Sus scrofa: one gene and its partners. The protein of the gene in region 1 interacts with the protein of each later gene in a biochemical or structural test. Links are inferred from orthologs where the notes say so. Each region holds a gene or a part of one and is shown in the gene's direction. Other genes may lie near its edges.

Evidence for each region.
Region 2: of the proteins of CHEK2 (region 1) and ATR, one has a biochemical effect on the other in vitro, tested with the Homo sapiens proteins (2 studies listed by BioGRID). The link is inferred for Sus scrofa from reciprocal best matches to the Homo sapiens genes CHEK2 and ATR.
Region 3: of the proteins of CHEK2 (region 1) and PPM1D, one has a biochemical effect on the other in vitro, tested with the Homo sapiens proteins (2 studies listed by BioGRID, with this or other methods). The link is inferred for Sus scrofa from reciprocal best matches to the Homo sapiens genes CHEK2 and PPM1D.

The regions. Positions count from the first base shown.
Region 1 is NC_010456.5:45,926,964-45,933,919, reverse strand, and holds the end of CHEK2 (serine/threonine-protein kinase Chk2), read left to right. Parts: intron 1-2,175; coding exon 2,176-2,256; intron 2,257-3,977; coding exon 3,978-4,067; 3' UTR 4,068-4,212; downstream 4,213-6,956. UniProt on the Homo sapiens protein: Serine/threonine-protein kinase which is required for checkpoint-mediated cell cycle arrest, activation of DNA repair and apoptosis in response to the presence of DNA double-strand breaks.
Region 2 is NC_010455.5:83,285,778-83,293,284, reverse strand, and holds the start of ATR (serine/threonine-protein kinase ATR), read left to right. Parts: upstream 1-3,298; 5' UTR 3,299-3,453; coding exon 3,454-3,512; intron 3,513-7,507. UniProt on the Homo sapiens protein: Serine/threonine protein kinase which activates checkpoint signaling upon genotoxic stresses such as ionizing radiation (IR), ultraviolet light (UV), or DNA replication stalling, thereby acting as a DNA damage sensor.
Region 3 is NC_010454.4:37,531,951-37,539,505, reverse strand, and holds the start of PPM1D (protein phosphatase 1D), read left to right. Parts: upstream 1-3,346; 5' UTR 3,347-3,567; coding exon 3,568-4,039; intron 4,040-7,555. UniProt on the Homo sapiens protein: Involved in the negative regulation of p53 expression. Required for the relief of p53-dependent checkpoint mediated cell cycle arrest.

The DNA.
Region 1 (6,956 bases):
TTTAATTTTTTCATGCATTCACTTGTTCTTTCAGAGGACAGTTAAGAGCAGTGGGACACGTGTGGCAATAGGGGTGGGTGCAGAGTAGGGGAATCTCCAGGGTGAGACAGGGCCACAGGGCTTCAGGTAACCACAGGTTCACACGGTGTGAGGAGCATCCAAAGGCTGCATGGCTCGGAGGTGACATAACTGTGTCAGTCCGCTCTGGCTGCCATAGCAGAATACCGTAGACCAGGTGGCTTAAAAAACAGAAATTTATCTTCTCACAATTCTGGAGGCTTGAAATCCAATTTCAAGGTGCCAGCAGCTTTGGTTTCTCCTGAGGTCTCTTTCCTCACTTTGCAGGTGGCTGCTCTTCTCACTGTGTCCTCACTTGGTCTTTTCTCTGTGTGCTCACATCCCTGGTGTCTTTTTCTCTTCTTAGGAGGAGACCAGCCATAATGCGTTAAGGCCCCACTCTAAGAGCCTCATTTTAACTTAATTACCTCTTTAAAGGCCCTGTCTCCAAGTACAGTCACAATATGAGGTGTTGGGCTTCAATATATAAATGGGGGTGGGGGAGAGGTACAGTTCAGTCATGACTCACACAGTTCAGTCATAACAATCACAGTTCAGTTGCCATAACAACAGGGGATAGCATTTTTAACACTGATTGAGTCCCTCTGATATGGAGGCCCCTGTGCTTATTATAGCGCCTGACATCTAAGGGTCTTTGCAAAATATTTGTTCACCTAGTGAATGAGGAAGTGGGGTGAGGTGGTGGGTGGGCAGGAAGGCACAGAGGGGTTCCCAGCTGAGGCTGTAAGCAGCTGCAGGAGAAATAAGGGATGGACAATTGAGGGTGGCCTTGCCTGAGAAGTGAGATCCTAGGGAACTATGTGGAGTGGAATCCAGATGAACTTGGTGCTTGGGCAGTGGAGAGCTACACTGAGTGATTCAGTAAACAGGGTGATGGAAGCAGATGATTCTAGGTAATAGGTGTAGAACAGGCGGATTCATCCTCAAACACTGTAATTCTTCATCCATCAAATTATTGAACGTTGAAGGCCTTCATTCCTGTGTCCTTTCTCCTCAACCATCATGGTGCACTGGGAGAGTGGAGGCAGGTCGGGTAGGAAAGTATATGGAATCAGGCTGCTCTGGGGCTGTATTCTGCACACGTAGCTTGTAAGTGGCTGAGCTTGGCTTCTAGCTGGCCCCAAAGCCCACAGTCCTAGTCATGAATGTTTCCCCTTTCTGAAGGTGGGGAGAGCTGTCACTTTTCAGGGCTCTCGGATGCAAGTCCTTGGTAGTTGCGAGCATCCATGGAGGTGAGAGTTATCTGTATAAACCCCTCTCTCTCCAATTCCCCTCTAGCAGAAAGAAACACCTATAATGCTATGGCCTGTTCACTTGTCCTTCTTTCTCGTTATCCTTGGGATATTGTGCACTGGAAGTCCTTCTGGCAATTGTACAGTGCTTGCCCAGTTTATTTTCCTAGGGTACAGGGTTGCTTTGTTAGGATGGCCCCAGTAATTGGCCTCATTGTTGGCAGGGGGAGCAGCATGGAGCCAGCCTCAGCCTCTGGCCTCTTGATTACCATGTCTTAGGATCTGGGGTGCTAGTTCTGAAAGTCTTTGACTACTGAAATCTCTGGTTCTCTCTCTCTCTCTTTTTTTTTTTTTTTTTTTTTTTTTTGGTCTTTTTGCCATTTCTAGGGCCGATCCCGAGGCATACGGAGGTTCCCAGGCTAGGGGTCGAATTGGAGCTGTAGCCTGCTGGCCTACGCCAGAGCGACAGCAACGCGGGATCCGAGCCGTGTCTTCGACCTACACCACAGCTCACAGCAACGCCAGATCCTTAACCCACTGAACAAGGCCAGGGATTGAACCCGCAACCTCATGGTTCCTAGTTGGATTCGTGAACCACTGCACCATGACGGGAACTCCAGTCTCTGGTTCTCTCTGACCCACCAACAGCTCTTAAGCCTACGGGTTTGGTTCAGCCATTGCTGAGCACTGACTGCTGATCAGACTGTTCTGTGAAGGCAGAGGTGAGGACTGCCTAGTCTTCTCCCTTCTGGAGCTTCAGCAAGGGCAGCCTCTGTGTGGACAGACGGGAGTTCCCATTTCCCTGTTTCCAGGGGCATCCTAGCCCTGCCTTTCTGCCTACTTAATGTTTTTCATTTCTTCACAGGATGAGGACATGAAGAGAAAATTTAAGAATTTGCTTTTTGAAGAAGACAAGTCCACAGCTCTGTCTCAGGTTCCAGCCCAGGTATTCTGGAAGATGGTCATTAAATGTAGGCTAAGTTTAAAGAGCTGAGTGGGAGTTCCCGTTGTGGTTCAGTGGTTAACGAACCCGACTAGTATCCATGAGGATGCTGGCTCTATCCCTGGCCTCAGTGGGTTAAGGATCTGGCATTGCCATGAACTGTGGTATAGTTTGCAGACATGGCTCAGATCCCATGTTGCTGTAGCTGTGATATAGGCTGGTAGCTATAGCTCTGATTCAACCCCTAGCCAGGGAACTTCCATATGCTGTAGGTGCAGCCCTAGGAAAAAAAAAAGAACTGAGGATTGGAGGATGATGGTTTGAATAATCTCTTTAGCAGCAATTGCTTAATATTTTTTTTTTGGTAAAGAATAATTTAGTAGATACTTTGTTTCAGCTTGATCTGCTGTACAACCTTTAGAAGATTTAATAATGAAGAATATGTTTAATGCATGAAAAGCACAGCTAGGGGTTGTCATTCAAGAAGTCTCCTACAAGGCAAGATTGGAAGACTGTATTAGAGGCTCAGATTTAAATTCGTTGAAAAATTTAAAATTTGGGGGAGTGGAAGTTCCTGTCATGGCTCAGCAGTTAACGAACCTGACTAGCATCCATGAGAACACGAGTTTGATCCCCGGCCTTGCTCAGTGGCTTGGGGATCCGGCATTGCTGGGAGCTGTGGTGTAGGCTGTAGATGCGGCTCAGATCCCGCATTGCTGTGGCTCTGTTGTAGGCTGGCGGCTACAGCTCTGTTTGGACCCCTAGCCTAGGAACCTCCATGTGCCACAGGTCTGGCCCTAAAAAGACAATAATAATAATAATAATAATAATAAATTTTTAAAAATTGCGGGAGTAGTTGATTTCCTGATTATAATCTTCTCTAAAATTCTTTGTGTAAGTATCAGTTACTATCTGTTCATTCTTAGTTTGCCTTCTTTTGGTAACATTCTTCTTCCCACTGCTCCCTCGAAGTTTTATAAATGGGATAACAAAGACACAAAAAAGATTATCTTTCCACAAAAGGGAGAGACTTGAGGCTCCCTGGGAGAGATGAATTGTGGTCCCTTTAAATTTCATAACTTAGGAGAAAACAACCAAGAAGAGGCTGGTTATACTGCTTATGTTCAATGTACATCATTGAGTGATTGGAGGCCACAAGGGAGAGAAATATCAGTTTGATAAGTATTTCTGGGTGTTTGCGAGGGCTGGGGTAGGGATTCAGATTGACTGAGGGCAACCAGTAGTTCCTAGAAGTTTCACATGAAGTGCTCCAGGGAGTTCCTGCTGTGGTGCCATGGGTTAAGGATCCCATGTTGTCTCTGGGGCAGAATGAATTTGATCCTCTGCCCAGCGCAGTGCAGTGGGTTAAGGACTGGCTTTGCTGTAGCCTCCACCTACGCACATGGACCAAATGTGCTTAGGAGTTTCCACCCTGGCACAGTGGGTTAAGAATCCAACCGCAGTAGCTCTGGTCGATGCAGAGGTGTAGGTTCCTGCCCAGCCAGGCACAGTGGGTTAAAGGATCCAGCATTGCTGCACTGTGGCAAAGTTTGCAGCTATGGCTCGGATTCCATCCCTGGCTTGGGAACTTCCATATGCCTCGGGTGTGGCCAAAAAAGAAAGAAAAAAAAGTGCTCCAAATTTACTGGAATCATATTGGGAAACTCTGATCATCATAAAGAAGCCATAGGTTTTCTTTGAACATTTCTCCCTTTTCCTTCCAGCCTTCTACAAGTCGAAAGCGGCATCTTGAGGGGGATACAGAGGATGCTGAGCCCACAAAGCACCTGGCTGTGTGTGCTGCTGTCTTGTGAACACCGGGTGACCATGAAAAGAATGTACCTTCTTGAACTCTGCTGCCATTTCCTTTAAATCTGTTTTTTATACTTTGTATTTCCATTATAGGAATAGTTGTTTTTCCACGATCATCAATATACAATTGAAAACAAATGGAACCCAGGCTTTGTGCTTCTGCTTGTTTTTGTTTTTGTTTTGGCCACACTTGTGGCATGTGGAATTTCCCAGGCCAGGGATTGAACCCAAGCTGCTGCAGTGACAATGCTGGATCCTTAAATCACTGCACCACAAGGGAACTCTTGTGCTTTTGCTTGTTGACTAGCTCTTAGTTACATGCCTTTAGTGTGTGTGTATGTGAAGTTGCTGTGTGCCTTTGGTGCTTTTACCTTGGCTATAATCAGGCAGGTTTCTTAGGATGCACCCCTGGTCTCAGCCTAAGTGAACCTCATACAGATTCTGAAGGCCCCTTAAAAAGTTGTACGGGGAAGGGGTACAGTGACTTGGGGTGGAGTTTGTATCCACTGGCTGGATGCCAGAGTCCTCAGAAGACAGTATACCATGGGTCAGTTTTAGAGTCCTATCCTCACCCTCATTATCCTTGAAATAACAGGGACAGATACATTGTAAAATTCAAAAATTTCCTTAGTTTAGGAAGAGGACCAGGCACATGGACTGTGTTGTGTGTAATATCCAGCTGAGTCCTAAAACCAAACACTAATTTTTCTGCAACAAATATTCAAAGTAGTTGGGATAGAGAAAACTAAGTAGCCTCATGGCACTTCAGGTCCATCTTCTACCATGTCGGTTATGGGGGACACTCAGGTTTCAGAGCTATTTGGATTTTGGAAATGCCCCTATAACCTTATGTTATAGGTGAGGAACCCAGGCTGAAGGAGTAAGGTGACTTATCCAACATCATACAACTAGGAAGTGGCAGACCTGGGACCCAACCCAGGGTTTTCCGACACAAATTCATGTTCCTCATCTCCTTCCCATATTTAGTCAGACTCACAGATGTTGACTCACACTGACAAAACTCACATAAGACTGATGTCTAAATATTGAATACCAGTATGTTCAATCATGATGAATGAGTACAACCTATGATCTGTGTTAGTTGGAACATCTTGGTGGCAAGGAACAGAGGCCCATTCAATTACTATATGGAAAAGGGGATTTGTTTCATTGTTACAGACGGCTGGGCCTGGGAGCAGGAGCGTAGACAGTTCTACTGACTGGCTCCTCTTGTCTCCTTCTGACCCACTGATTTTGCTTCTCTTGCAACTTTGGCTGGCTGACACTAGGCCACATTGTAGCTTGTTGACCATGCCATGAGTTGAGTGCCTTGGTTCAGATGCCAGTGGGTGAGCCAGCCAGGATAGGGTGAGCACATAGTTGTTGCCCCAGGCATTAAGGGTGGTGGTTGGCAATTTCCATTAGAAGGGTGCGCAAGCTTTCTGAGGCTTGGCTGGCCCATTACTTAGGGCTTGATGGGATTTAGGTGGTTTGCATATTTAAAGGAATGAGGCTGAGATTGCCAAGTTAGATGGGTTTTAGCTCATTTGAATATTTAATGTGAAGGCTGTGGTTTCTTAGGGCCTCTTTCCCTCTTGGGGCAGAGTCAGCCAGCCCTTCTGTTTCCAGAGCACTTTGTATTAGGTCCCTCTGATTATACCTACTAGAGTGGGATAAATAATGACCTCTAAAGATATTCTCATCCCAATCCCCAGAATTTATGAGCATGTTCTTTTACATGGCACAAGAGATTTTGTGGGTGTGATTAAGTGAAGGATCTTGGGATCTGTTTTATCAAGGTGGACTCAATATCATCACAATGTTCCTTTCAAGAGGGACACAGGAAGAGGCAGAGTCAGAAGAGATGGAGTGGTGCTCTTTGAAAACAGGAAGAGGCCATCAACCAAGGAATATAGGCAGCTATTAGACGCTGACAAAAAGCAAGGAAATGGATTCTCCCTCAGAGCCTGCTGAGGAACCAGTCCTTTCCTTTACACCTTGACTTTCACAAAATGAAACTGATTTCAGACTTCTGACCCACAAAACTTTAAGAGAATAAATTGTGTTGTTTTAAGCCACCCAATTTGTGATAATTTGTTACAGCAGCCATAGGAAACTAATCATAAATGGAGAGACATCAGTTGCTGGTTTGAGGCCATCCAGCATTGATTCTTTTCCTTAACCTCAAACTCCAGTTTTCTTTTGGGGGAATTATTTTTCTTTTTTCCACAATGTCATAGGGGGAGGGGGAGATTGTAAACCTAAGTGCCTGTCTGCATCCCCCCCACTATAGAAGCTAAAAGGGTCCATAGAGGCTCCTCCCTGGTAGGGCCCCTTCCACTGACCACCCAGCTGGAGGTGGGCACAGGACTTTGAAATGTGAGCAAATGCAGCTAGGATGGCAACATTAGTGGTAGGAACAATATTGTGCTAATCTCAGCTCTCTGTACTCCCTGACTTTGGCTTTGGACAAGTTACTTCAAGTTGCTGAGCTTCTATTTCCTTATCTATAAAATGAGTGCAATAAGAGTATCAATTTAATATGGTGTTTCTGAGGGAATCTATGGTGGGAATTTCACTTAAAGTGCCTGGTAGAGGATTTGTCAATGTTGGCCTCCATCATTAAAGGTGGGAGGGTCACATAAATAGCCCGAGGGAGCCATAGAAAATTCTTGAGTGGGGAGTTAACATCATCTGTTTAGCTTTTTAGGGTTTTTACAAAGCAGATCTGGGAAACTCTAGGCCTGGGGTGGGTGGTGGGAGCAGAGGTGGGGGGTGCATTGCCCAGTGACTCACGTAACTGCCACTCCCTTCTGAAGAACAGGCATATTGCTCTGAAGTGGACCTGCTGTGCCTAGATGATGGTGCAGTAGATAGCTCTTATTTGGGTC
Region 2 (7,507 bases), on another chromosome or scaffold:
CCTTGAAAAGATACCCACCCACTCAAGTGTTTACAGATAAATGGATATGATGTCTGAGATTTCTTTAAAATAATCCAGTTAGAGGAAGGGGGAATGGGAGGGGTGGTTGTAGATGAAAGGAAGACTGGCCATATGCATGTAAATAGTTGTTCAAGTTGGATGATGGGCATAGGTGGGGGGGTTTACTTAGTCTACTCTCTCTACTTTTTTTTTTTTTTTGGCTACACCCAGGCTATGCAGAAGTTCCACAGCAGTTAACTGGAGGCACAGCAGTGACAACTCGAGATCCTTAACCTGCTGCACCACCAGGGAACTCCTATTCTATTTTTCATATATATTTGAAAGTGTCCATAACAAAAAGTTAAAAATAAAATGCCTGGGAAAAAACTCAAGGAAAAAAATGCAGTAGAAAGGTAGACATATGAAATATAAATCTGAGAGAGATCTGAACGGAAGAATTAGAGAGATATCAGCAGGTCACCCAAACATAGTAAACGTTAAATTTGTCATGATTAATCCAATCCAATTAAAAGAAAATCTTCACAGATATATTGAAAACTTATTATTACATCCCTTCTCTCCTTCTCCAGAGGTACAACTCTCCTGGAGTTGATGTATAGCCTTTCCAACCATTAAGAAAAATTTTTTTTATCATATATATATGTATACACAATTCACTCACACAAAGCCTTATTTTGTGAGTTCAAAAGGTATGTAAGTGCCTTGATACTGTTATGTATCCTTTTGTCTTTTGCTTTTTTTCACTCAACACTGTTTTCAGAATTCACACTTCATTCATTTTAACTACGAAATGATATTCCACTGTAGGACACTACCACCTCTTATTTTATCTTTACTATAACATTATGCAGTAGATATTAATAATCTCATTTTATAGATGAAAAATTTTAGTACAAAGAGGTTAAGTAACTCAACCAACTTTATAGTTTCCAGCAGATGGAGTGAGAACTTGCATAGGGGCTCAACTCAAAATCACATGATCTGCCCACTCTTAGGTAGAAACTAAAATGAAGACCTAAAAAAGAGTAAGTCTGCATGACTCATTGACCCACCCAGACTCAGACCTGCAGCCTCCACTTCACTGGACCGCCACAAGTGGAAAAACCAAGCCCATGAAGCGGTTGACTTCCCAAGGACAAAGACAGCCCAAAGAGAAAATTAATTTTTTTTTTTTTTGGTCTTTTTAGGGTAGCATGCACAGCATATGGTGTTTCCAGGCTAGGGGTCCAATCAGAGCTGTAGACACCGGCTGACACCCCAGCCACAGCAATGCAGGCCAGCTCACGGCAACAACAGATCCTTAACCCACTGAGCGAGGCCAGGGATCAAACCCACAACCTCATGGTTCCCAGTCAGATTCATTTCCACTGCGCCACAACGAGGACTTCGAGAAAGTTAAATTTTTATACATTGATCTCAACCACCATCCTGGACCTACAGAACTCAGCACAAAACCCCCAGCCTATAAAACCTGAATTTCTCCCAACAGCGGGCAGCTCTGAGTTCCTCTTGCTCAGTGCTCCCAACCACTCTGCTGGTCAATAAATCTTGTTTGAAATGTCACTGCTTCAGTCAACCGTCTTTCTTTCCCTGGTGCTCTAACACCCACTATAGCATTCTGGTATTTAACAAATAATTACTACATACCAACTATATCCCAAGCACTCTTTTAGGTCCCAGGTATCTAAGCAAAATCCCGCTCTCAAGGAGCTTATATTCTAATTGGAAGAGACAGTCAAAAAAATAGTATTTAATATATAACTTGATTCTATGTGCTATGAAGGAAAATAAAGCAAGGATGGAGGGGGAGAGAGTATGAGTGCAAGTGTGCTAGTCCATATGAGGCTTTCTGGTGACATTTCAGCAAACATCTGAAGAGAAGTGATGAAAGAAGGGTATTTAAGAGGGATATTTAAGGTCAAGGCAGAGGGTTTAGCAAACGCGAAATCCCTGAGACAGGAGCCTATTTGGCTGTCACTCCGCTTCTTTTTTTTTTTTTTTTTGTCTTTTTAGGGCCACATCCAGGGCATATGGAGGTTCCCAGCCTAGGGGTCAAGTCAGACCTCCATATGCTGCTGGCCTCCACCACAGCTAGGTCAGATCCAAGAGGCGTATGCCATCTACACCTCAGCTTGCGCCAACACGGGATTCTTAACCCACTGAGTGAAGCCAGGGATTCTTAACCCACTGGGTGCTCATGGACACTAGCAGGGTTTGCTACCCCTGAGCCACAACAGAAACTCCCTCCTTTTTTTTTTTTTTTCTTAAGATACTGTGTAACAATTATTCTCCTGTGTTAGGGAACAAAGGTAAATACACTGCCTGGCCTTGCCTGATTAAACATAACTTTGACATGTTAACAGCCTCTTATGATGACCATTTTTCGTATAAAAAAAACTAGGTTGAGCTACAAAATGTCTACAGCCAAAATCCACTGATTTACTTAAAAATTAAATCACAGGTAATAGACGCCAAAGGTAAAGGTGACATAAATACACACAATACTGTCGCTCACTTGATGAGCCACAAATAAACACAATTTAACCCTCTTCTTAAATATTAAAGGTTGATAAGTTCCCGCTGTGGCACAATGGGTTGAGAATCCGAATGCAGTAGCTCCGGTCACTATGGAGGCGAGAGTTCAGTCACCAGCCTGCCACAGAGGGTTAAAGGATCCAACGATGCTGCAGCTGCGTTCGGATCTGACCCCTGGTTAGGGGACTTCCGTCTGTCGCGGTTGCGGCCATACCAAAAAAAAAAAAAAAAAAAAAAAAAGAAAAGAAAGGAAAAAACTTGAGAGTATCCTCAAGGAAACCTAATGCAGACTTCAATTTGAGGGGAAAAAATATCCGCTGGGACAAGGAGGAGCCCACCTTTTGCGCCATACCTCTCAGACACCCGTCAAGAGAACAGTAAGAAAATGAAGAACCTGGGGGCGTCTTTGGGGAGACCTGGATCTGATCTTGGGGCTCTAGATGCTGAATTGTCTCATTTTTCACATTTGTCATGAGAGGGATTCTGGGCTAGTGCCCGCCACGCCCCTTTCCTCCCAGGACCCGGGGTCTGGGTTCTCTGAGCCTCCCAAGCTTGGGAGTGACAGAGCAGAGCAACTAAAAACCAAAACTCTCACGATTTTTGCCTGGCCACTTACCAAGCTGCCTATCTCAGAGCGAACCCAACTGGGGAAACTTGACCCTCCGCCGCGCCGCGTCCCTTGCCCCGCCCACTCTCCCCACCCACTTCGGCCTCCCGGCCTCCCCCGGGTCCTACGCAGAAAAGAACTAGGACCTGGCGAGCGGGCCCGCACGGCTTCCGGGAGGAGTTTTGGGCCCCGCGAGGCACCGTCGGGCGCCGCGCTTTCTCATCGGAGGTGGCTGTGGAGACGCCAGGAGCCCGCCTGGGTGTAGTTGACCGGTGGTGCACGTCCTCAGCATGGGCGAGCATGGTCTGGAGTTGGCGTCTATGATCCCGGCCCTGCGGGAGCTGGGCAGGTAGGGCCAGGCCGGCATCTCACGTGCTCTCCCTCCCCAGCCGCGCGCGTCCTAGTTCCGATCCCCTCAACCCGGGCCCTTGTGGAGACACTCCGTGGCTGATTAGAGCGCTTCTCCTACAGAGAGGCGGTTAAAAGGACTGGGGGCTTCGCCGCAGACCCGCCAGATGCGGGTCCGAGGGGAGGGCCGTCTGCAGGTCCCACTTTACCTCAGCGGCGCCCTGAAGCTCCTCCCCCACCAGCACCCCCAGGGGATTGCCTCTGCGGCGGGAAAGAAGGGTCCCGCCGGATGGTAACTTTCTGATCACTTCCCTACACTCACTGCTTTGCTTCTCAAAAGCCTCTTTCCTTGATGGAGTACTTGACCTGTGGATTTGTCTCAGTTTCTGTTGTCTTCTATGTTTTGACCCCAAACTGCCCTCGGATGAAAAGTCATTTGTTCAGATTTTATGCAAGGAAGGCCAGTTGCTCGAAAAAGCAGTTTGTGTCTTTCTTAGAAGTGAAACCATAGGCCATTCTGGAGATGGGACCCTTTTCATGTTGATCATCCAGTCCCCAATTCGTTAGTTCAATCAGAAATCCCAGGAATCGACCACAACGTCTGCAAAATATAAATGTGCAAGAATGAAGCCAAAATTTGAAGATAATTTAATGTTCCATTTGCATAGCTTTTTTTTTTTTTTTCCCCTGTAAACCTGAGAATAGAATCATGTAAACCAGTTTCCTGCCGCAACAGAAGGGAGAGATGTTGATGTCTGCTGTCCTTCAACACACCTACAACCTTTCCTCAACCAGGCCTAGGCAGGGTGTTTGTTCAATTTTTTTTTTTTTTTTTTTGGTAACCTACTGTGAATAGAAAAGTGGGCTTGTACCACTACTGCATTTGAACTGTCAATTGGAATAGTTGCTTTCCAATTTCTTAAATTGTTTGAAAACTTAGCACACAGCCACAACTGATTTTAAGCCCATGGGATATTTAATTTCCTTTCTTTGTGCAGTGCAGTTGTGTCCCTCTCCACTTGTTAGCCATACCAAGACACTGACATTTAGTCTTCCTCAGTTACATACATAAGAGGTTATAAATAACAGCACCATGCTTGTCTTAACTGAATCATCCTCTTTTTGTGTGTATGATTTTTTCCCCCTTGGCATGAGTGTTGCAATCATACTTGGGTAAACATTTTGTAAAGTAACATTTACCTTTCTTAAGAAGATGAAGGCAGGTGTTCACACAGGAAGTTGATGTACCTATTTCATCTTTCAGGCTCCATGTAAAGCTCAGGGTGTTTCCCCCTTCCCCCTGCTTTAATATAGAATTTGCTGATTAATACTTCTCTTCCCTTTTCTCTCTTCCAGTATGATACTTGTTGATAAAAATAATACTATCTTGGATTTATTTATAGTCTCTTTCATCAACAGAGCTTATGTTACCTTTGATTCATTTGTAGCCATTTTAAGAGAAGGAATAATAAAAAAAAAAACTTAGGAGTTCCTGTCCTGGTGCAGAAGAAATGAATCCGACTAGGAACCATGAGGTTCAATCCCTGGCCTCGCCTAATGGGTTAAGGATCCGGCATTGCCGTGAGCTGTGGTGAAGGTCGCAGATGCAGCTCAGATCTGGCGTTGCTGTGGCTGTGGTGTAGGCTGGCAGCTACAGCTCTGATTAGACCCCTAGGCTGGGAACCTCCATATGCTGTGGGTGTGGCCCTAAAAAAGACAAAAAAGACAAAAACAAAAACAAAAGCAAAAACACTTACCCATGGAGAATTACCTAATAGTAGTTTTTAATTGTCATGACTTTTTCATTGCAGCTTATTCATTCACATAGTATCTCCATGATATAGAATGGACCAAATATTATCACTGTTTATTAAGAAACAGAGTCACAAAGTCAAAAGGATAGCAATTATTAGAGCTAGATTTCAAATTCAAGCCATCAAGTCTTTTTCTCCTTAATTTTTTTTTCTTTTTCTTAAGTGACCGTGGCAATTAGATTTCTGAAAAAAGTAAGATGTTACTGTTTAAATGTATGGCCTCCTTTTCCTCTGTCTCTCAGGGATAAGTTTTGTTCCAATGTTTTCTGCTGTTAGCACTCCCTTTTTTTTTTTTTTTTTTTTTTTTTCATGATTGCACTGTGGGACATGGAAGTTCCCAGGCCTGCACCACAGCTGCAGCAACACTGGATCTAAGCGGCATCTGTAACTTATGTTGCAGCTTGCAGTTACACCAGATCCTTAACCCACTGCATGAGGCCAGGGATTGAACCTGCATTCTCATAGACAATATGTTGTGTTCTTAACCTGCTGGGCCACAACGGGAACTCCTATTAGCACTCTTTTCTCTATAGTCTTTCTGTTTGATCTCATCTATTTTCCTGCTGTCAACTACCATCTGCTATTTGATGACTCTAAATGCATGTCTCCCATATCTATTTCCTACAAAACTATATCCAACCACATACTGCAGTTGTTCTGATAACCCCATTAGTTGTTCCCTGGGTGTCCTACATGCATTTAAGACTCAATATATCCAATACAAATTCTCTGTATGTTCTAACCTCCCAAAGTTTTGTTTTGTTTAAATACCTCTCGTTCACTGAAGTAGGGAGATATCTCAGTAAATGATACCATGTTCACTCGTTTTTCTAAACTAGAAATCTAGGAGTCATTCTTGGCTCCATATGTGCTTTCAGGCTACATCGATTGTCCTCTTTCCTTATTTATTTATTTATTTTGCGTTTTAAGACCACATCCATGGCATATGGAGGTTCCAGGCTAGGGGTCAAATCGAAGCTACAGCTGCTGGCCTGCGCCTTAGCCACAGCAACGCAGGATCTGTACTGCATATGCGACCTACACTACAGCTCACGGCAACACAGGTTCCTGGACCCACTGAGCAAAGCCAGGGATCAAACCTGCATCCTCATGGATACTAGTTGGATTAGTTTCCACTGCACTACAACTCTCCTCCTCAGTAACTCTGTCTAGTCTCATGGCTTTAAATACCATCTAGGAGTTCCCGTTGTGGCTCAGCAGAAACGAACCCATCTGGTATCCGCAAGCATGTAGGTTTGATCCCTGGCCTCACCCAGTGGGTCAAGGATCCTGCATTGCTATGAGCTGTGGTGTAGGTTGCAGATGTGGTTCGGATCCTGCTTTGCTGTGGCTGTGGTGTAGGCTGGCGGCAGCAGTTCTGACTAGACTCCTAGCCTAGGAACTTCAATATGCCACACAAGTGGCCCTAAAAAGCAAAAAAAAAAGAAAAGAAAAAAAATACTGTCTAAATGCTGATAACTCCCAAATGTATATCTAGCCCAGAGGTATATGTTAGGTTGTTTATTCAACATCTACACCCAGAAAAGAAGATTAACATATCCAAAGCAGAACTCCTGATTTACTGTCCTTATTTATTTGTAAATGTACCAATCAAAAGCCTAAAAGGGAATTCCCTGGTGGCTTGGTGGGTTTAGGATTTGGTACTGTCACTGCTGTGGCACAAGTTTGATCCCTGGCCCAGGAACTTCTGCATATCTTGGATGCAGTCAAAAAGGAAAAATAAGCCTGCGAGTTATCCTTGATTTTTTTCCCCCTTACCCCTTAATAATCATCAACAAGTCCTGTTAACCCTGTCTTTGAAAAAACACTTAAAACCATCTCCACTACTATCACCATAACTTCTTATCTGAGCTATTAGAGTAACTTCTTAGCTGATCTTTCTTTTTACACTTTTACCCATTTATAGTGGATTTCACACTCAGCAACCAAAGTGATTTTTACAACTATAAATCATACGTAGATTATATAACATTACTCTCCTGATCAAAAATCTTCCTTTGGTTTTCCAGCACACCTAGAATAAAATCCAAACTCCATCCCAAGGCCTCTAAATTCCTTTATAATCTGGCCTCTGCCTACCTCTGACCCTTGGGCTTTTGTACCTCCCTTACTCACTCTACTCCAACACACTGGCCTTCTCTTTCAAATACACAAAAGTCAC
Region 3 (7,555 bases), on another chromosome or scaffold:
AAGAAATGAAGAATGGTGTGGTCTCTTTTCAGCCAAGAGAACAAAATTTTGAGAAGGAAGCAATGGTTTGACTTGCTACTAAGTTTCAGGAAGGAAATAGTGGTTCCACTGGCTGCATCAGTTGGAATAGAAGTTCCTAAGAACAGAAAAATCATCATTAGCTTTGGAAGCAGAGAGGTCTGGTTATGTCCTAAAAATAGTCTTAGCAGCATTACAGGGATGGCACTTGATTAGAATGGGTTAAGGAGAAGTTATGAGGTAGGAATTGGAAGTAGAATCTAGAGAGAGGCTTGGGGCAAGGGTTTGACCCCTGGCCTGGCACCTTCTGCAAGCCATGGGTGTGGGGGAGGAGGCGGAGAAACCAGGACACGTTTTTACAAAGATGGAAATGACTTGGTGGAAAAAGAGAAATTGATGAATTGATGAGGTAGGACCAAAAAAAGAAAAAAAAAAAAAAAGATACCTGGTGGAGTAAAGATCTCAATAGAGGAAAGAGAAATGAGAACACAATAGAGGGATTGCTCTTAATGGTAGCAAGGCCATGTCACCATGAAGAGGAAGATGAAGAGCTGAGAAGCCAGGGTATTGGACAGAAAATGTGGATAACATTTTGAAAAATAAAGTGGCTAAGAAGCGACAAGAATAGTGGAAGACAAGAGCTCCTGTCCTGACTCCGGAAACGAATCTGACTAGTATCCATGAGGAGAAGGTTCGATCCCTGGCCTCCCTCAGTGGGTTAAAGATCCAGCATTGCTGTGAGCTGTAGTGTAGGTAGAAGACACAGCTGGGATCCCCAGTTGCCGTGGCTGTTGGGTAGGCCGGCGGCCACAGCTCCCATTCCACCCCTAGCTTGGGAACCTCCATGTGCCATAGGTGCGGCCCTAAAAAGACAAACAAAACAAAACAAAACAAAAAGCATAGTGGAAGCAAATTAGACAGTGAGCCAGGAACAAATGAAGGGGTGTTACAGTATCTTGGTGTTGTGGCAGTTGTCACTAATTTTAAAAGAGCTTAGGTTGAAGTTCCCATTGTGGCACAATGGTTAACGAATCTGACTAGGTACTGTTTAGGGTTCGATCCCTGACCTTGCTCAGTAGGTGAAGGATCCGGCGTTTGCTGTGGCTGTGGTGTAGGCCGGTGGCTACAGCTCCAATTCGACTCCTAGCCTGGGAACCTCCATATGCCGAGGGAGCGGTCCAAGAAATGGCAAAAAGAAAAAAAAAAGGGAGAGAGAGCTTAGATTTTTGAAGGAGGAAGGAAGGGAAATGATTTGTAGGCAATATGAGACGGTTCGAAGATAAGAATATCTGTTGAGAGGAAAAATAATCTACTTGAAAAGTTGTAAGGGAGGTAGTTTTGCTAGGCAATCAACCAGTTTTCGGTTGGAACAGGAAGCTGATGGGAACATTTAGAGAAGAGTGAAAAACAAAGAGGAAATGGCTGATAACAGATGTTGAAACCTAAAGGGTGGAGAGAAATGGTTAGGATGACTGGTGAAGAGCAGGGTACTGAATCAAGAGAGTAGCATGGAGATGCTAATCAGGGTAATGATGGATGACCCTGAGGCTACTGATTGTGACTGAGGGAAAAGGATTATAGAGAATGAAGTAATGATCCCTTTGTAATCTCTACAAGGGGAAGGGAAGTTGGGTAAACTATTTAAGAGGAATAATATAGAGCTACATAAACTGTTCTTTTTGGCAGGTCTTGTGTTATGGAGATTATTGGATTAGAATTGCTAATATTTCACCTTTTTTTGCATTTAGTATAAAATGTTGTCTATAGATTTCCTTCTAGTGTTATAATTACTAGGTTTTGATAACAGGATTATGATCACCTTTCAAAACAAGCTGGGATTTTTTCCAAGTGTTTTTACACTCTGGAACCATCTGGTCTGGTGCATTTTAACATAGGGCTTATCTTTGATTACATTTTTAATTTAATGGATCTATTCAGATTTTCTCCATTTCGGGGTGATTTTACTTCTTTTATTGGGAGGATTTTTTTTCTAGTTGTATTTCTTGTGCCAGATGTCAAAAAAATGAGCATGGAGTTCCCCTCCTGGCGCAGTGGTTAACGAATCTGACTAGGAACCATGAGGTTGCAGGTTCGGTCCCTGCCCTTGCTCATTGGGTTAACGATCTGGCCTTGCGTGAGCTGTGGTGTAGGTTGTAGACGCGGCTCAGATCCTGCGTTGCTGTGGCTCTGGCGTAGGCTGGTGGCTACGGCTCCGATTAGACCCCTAGCCTGGGAACCTCCATATGCCGTGGGAGCGGCCCAAGAAATAGCAAAAAGACAAAAAAAAAAAAAAAGAGAGAGAGCAGTTTTTTTCCCTATTCCCAGTTCAGTACCAGGAGCATTTCATTTGGAAATTTCTAAGGCTGTACAGGAAGGGGCACACAGGAGAGGTGATGGTGAAGTGGCCGAAAACTGAAAAAGTGAACTTTAATTTGACTCACAGGAACATTTGCTGTTGATAACAAACTGACCTGCCAACTCTGAGGCTTATTTTAATGCCGTCGAAATCCGGGCAAAGGTTTTAGGGCTTAGATTGCAACCCATGGGAGAAGAGGAGAGACGATAACCAAGGTCTTGGAGCACTCGAGCGCTGGGCAGTTTTTGTAACCTATTTTCAAGTGGTCTGTTCAAGTGATTCCGCCGAAGGACTAAAATGCTGCATCCAGGGCTCATCGGGGAAAGTACTACTTTTAGCAAAAGCTGAAAAGAACTTAAAACATAAGCCGTTTAAGTGTCCGACATACCTAGTTTATGTGAAACGAGACCGTGCAGCCAATGGTGGAAATTTCCCGTGTTTTCTTAACACAAAGTGGATTTCCTTTCACAACTCCCAGTCGGATCCATCCCACCCAAGTCCAGTTCGACAGTGCCACGCTTTTCCCAGCCTATTCACAAACCACCTTCCAAACTGAGGTTTCCCGCCACTTCAAGAAATGGAAGGTTTTTCTCTCTAGATTCTTCACACTCGTGCGAGGCCCGAGCCTACACGGCTTTTCCCACCAGGCAAGCAACGCAACGCCCTGGGCAGCAGGCTGCAATTCGACCGCGGGGACGGAGCAAAAAGGTGACAGAGAAGGCGCTAGATAAGCGTTTAGCACCCGCCGAAAAGCCGGAGGACGAAACCGCCCACTGCAAAGCGAAAGCCAGCCGGGTAGCGCGCTGGCTTCGCGCCCGCGCAGGGAGGAGGGAGTGCGGCCGTTGTAGGGAGAAGGGAGGGGCGGAGGGCGTGTTCGCCCCCAACTCGACTCCGGATTGGTCGGCCCCAGAGAGCCGAGTGACGTCAGCCGGGGAGAACGTCCGATTTGTGTGGTGGGCGCGGGCAGGCGGGGGAGGCGCATTGCGCAGGCGCAGCTGCTAGGCTCCGCTTGCCCGGGCGCTCCGGCCCAGCTCTCGCGGACAAGTCCCGACATCGCGCCCCCCCACCTCCGGGACCGCCCCCTCCCCCTTCTCGGCGTCGTCGAAGATAAACAATAGTTGGCCGGCTAGCGCCGAGTGTCTCCCGCCGCTCGGCGGGCTGCGTGGGACCGGCGGGATCTCGGCCAGCCGGCCATGGCGGGGCTGTACTCACTGGGAGTGAGCGTCTTCTCCGACCAGGGCGGGAGGAAGTACATGGAGGACGTTACTCAGATCGTGGTGGAGCCCGAGCCGACAACTGAAGAAAAGCCCTCGCCGCGGCGGTCGCTTTCTCAGCCGTCGCCCCCGCAGCGGACACCGCCGGCCCTTCCTGGAGGCGAAGTCTCGGGGAAAGGCCCAGCGGTGGCAGCCCGAGAAGCTCGCGACGCTCCGCCGGACGCCGGGGCCTCGCCAGCTCCCGGCCGCTGCTGCCGCCGCCGTTCCTCGGTGGCCTTTTTCGCCGTGTGCGACGGGCACGGCGGGCGGGAGGCGGCACAGTTTGCCCGGGAGCACTTGTGGGGTTTCATCAAAAAACAGAAGGGCTTCACCTCGTCCGAGCCGGCGAAGGTGTGCGCTGCCATCCGCAAGGGCTTCCTTGCTTGTCACCTCGCCATGTGGAAGAAATTGGGTAAGTTCCCCGGCTTATTTGGCGCCCGCCTCTTTTTCAGGAGACTGTAGCGCCAGGTTGGGGGCCGTAGCTGCAGCACTGCAGGTCCCCACAACGAGAGCGCTCTCAGTGTCCATCGGTGGGAGTGAAGACTCTTCTAGGTGGAGGTCCGGGCAAACAAAGTAGCTTTGGGCAGGACAGGATTACTGTCTCTGTGCAAACGCTCCACGTTTTATTTACACCCCCCATCCCCGCCAAGGATCAGTGGGGGAGCGGTCCTCTCCCTTCGCGATTTCACTTTGGTGGCGGCCAGCGAAAACATGTTTGAAACCTGGCGCCAGATTTGGCCAAAAGATTCATTGAAGACACGGTGCTGCCTGAAACACGCAAAGGAAGCGGGAGATGGCAAAAATTAGAGCGTTTCCTTCGAATTTGTCACAATTTTGCTTTTGAAAGACTCGGTTGTCTCCTACGGGCGGTGTCAGTCCTCCAAAATTGACCCCTGGTGGCTGGTAGTTAGAGTAAACTGTTAGGCTAACAAGTTATCCGGCGACCTAAAGGCTTGGAAGGAATTTCGTGTGTGTGGTGGTCATCAAGTGTTTCTAGGATCTTTATGCTTGTACTGCTCATGAAAACCAGCGCCGAATGCATTCTTACCGCCTAAATTGATCCTACGTTAAGAATACGTGTTAAATTCAGCTAGGGCTTTTTTAAAGTGCACTTTTTTTTTTTTTTTGCTGAAGTTGCTATTAGCTAATTGCTGTCAGATAGTTCTCAGCAGTTCCTAGTTAAAAGTTCTTTGTAGCTAAATTGTAGCTGCTCGTCAAAGTAGCAAGAGATAAGGAATTGCTGATATGCTAAAAGGAATTAGAGACCTTAATTTCTAAAAGTTTGGTTTAGTTGCAGTTTCATCTAAGCCTTAAATGTTTTCTAAAGCAGCCATTGTTTCTGTACCTAACATAAGTTGAGTTATAGTTGCTTACCCATTGCTGTGAATGAATGGCATAAATTATTTTTTAGAGGAAAAAATGATACTGTGTGTCATTAAAAAAAATCCTCTTGTTTATATGGTGGCATAGTGTTGCTTTATTTCCAGAAGAGAGACATAGAGTGTAAAGATTGGTCAAATACAAAACATTTTTAAAAAGGTATTCTGATGGAGTTGTAGACTAGGCTCTTTCAGAGTCTGTTTTCTATTTGCCTGGCTTTCTGCCAAGAATTATTTGATTGACTCATAGCATAACCAGTCCGCCTGTGGGAGGCTGTTTTCCATCCAATCCCAGAGGTCCCTATTATGGATTTGTTTTGTTTTTGTGTAGGCAGAGCAGAGCTGAAAGCACTGCAGTATATTCCAGAAATATGTCATTTCATTGCTTGCAGGGCAAGTAGGAGGGACAGCAAGACAAGATAGAGGAAGATTAGACACAAAGTACTACTTGGAATTCTGTTTATTTTGCAGTACAGTTGAAACAGCATGAATTTGCCACATGTTTTCACCAAAAGGATCCAAGTATAAACCCTTTTACTTGAGCATTTTTTAATAAAGCAGAAACCATGCTTTATTAATGAATGTCTGTGTTTTATTTATTTATTTATTTATTTTTGAATGTGTATTTTTTTTTAACATAATTCTTGTGCCAAGATTTCACTCCTTTGAGGCATGGGTTTAGAGCCTTATGCACCAAATGTTAAAGTTTGCTTTGTTCCACAGTTAATCTCATACTCTATCCGCAAAACTTGAATTAAGGAAAAAGAGTACGCTGAGTATATGGAAGTCCTGACAAAGGAAACTTCCTATGTCAAGTTTCCACTTTTGTAGTTCTCATTGGGTTATAGTAGTGTTTCTCAAACTTTTTGCTCTCGTAAATTTGTACTGAAAGGACTTAGAACCCTAAAGAGCTTTTGTTTGTGTGGGCTATATCTATCATATTTACTGTATGAGAAGTTAAAAATTGAGAAATTAAAGTTATTAATCTATTAAAAATAAACATATATGTTGACATATTTTTAAGTGAAAAATTACTTTTTTCCCCCAAATAAGAAAATTTGAAATAAATATTCTCATACCTGTTTCTGCATTCATTCACTCTCTTATGCTGTGTTGTCTGGTGACGTATGTAAGTGAAAAGGCAGACTTGCAAACGTATGTAGTAGGAAAAGGGAGGAATTGTTTGTATTTTCAGATGATTGTGATATTCCATACCAAATTGGTAGCTTCTTAAGGTTACTCAAAATAGAATCTGAAACCTTATCCATTGAACTTCTGCATTTTGACATTAAGAGCCATTGGTCTCTTGCACCTTGAATCAGTCTTTTACCCAGTTGTGATTTTGTGACATGGTGCCATTCATTAGGAATTTGGAAAATAATGGTTCACTGAATTATGCATATCTTTCAAGTATAGATGCATTTTATTTTATTTTTTTAATTATTATTATTATTATTTTTTGTCTTTTTGTCTCATCTAGGGCTGCACCTGACGCATATGGAGATTCCCAGGCTAGGGGTCTAATCGGAGCTGTAGCCACCAGCCTACACCAGAGCAACACCAGATCCGAGCCCAGGCTACGACCTACACCACAGCTCATGGCAACCCCAGATCCTTAACCCACTGAGCAGGCCAGGGGTCAAACTCACAATCCCGAGGTTCCTAGTTGGATTCATTAACCACTGAGCCACGGCGGGAACTCCTGATGCATTTATCATATGATATTAAAGCATCACATTTGTTAATATCACTGATCTCATCAGAAATTTAAGACTAGGAAGCTATCAAGTTCATCGTAGTGGATATACAAAGTCTTAAATATGAGGGCTTTTTTTGGCCTCCAGCATATGGAAGTTCCTGGGGCAGGGATCAATTCTGAGCTGCAGCCTACGCTGCAGCTGCAGCAACACTGCATCCTTAACCTACTGTGCCACAGCAGGAATTCCTAAAATGTGAGGTTTTTTTTTTTTTTTTCTTTTTTGGCCACCCTGTGGCAGTGCCTGATCTTTTACCCCACTGTGCTGGGCCAGGGATCAAACCTGTGTGCTGGCATTGCAGAAATGCCACCAATCCCATTTCGCCTCTGTAGGAACTCCTAAAATATGAGTTCTTAAGAGGCAGAAATTTGTCACTTAGCAATAAATACTGTCAGTTGCTTTTCTTGAAGTGAAAAGCACTTTGTTTTGAAGAAAATGTACAAAATGCCAAAGTTTTTTTTTTTTTTTTGTCTTTTTGTCTTTTCTAGGGCCGCTTCCACGGCATATGGAGATTCCCAGGCTAGGGGTCGAATCAGAGCCATAGCCACTGGCCCACGCCACAGCCACAGCAACGCTGGATCCGAGTCACGTCTGCAGCCTACACCACAGCTCACTGCAATGCTGGATCATTAACTCACTGAGCAAGGCCAGGGATAGAACCCGCAACCTCATAGTTCCTAGTCGGATTCCTTAACCACTGTGCCACAATGGGAACTCCCAAAATGCCAAAGTTTATTAACACATTTTATCAGTCCTTCAAGTAAAAATGATGGTCTGTGAAGAATGTGGCTA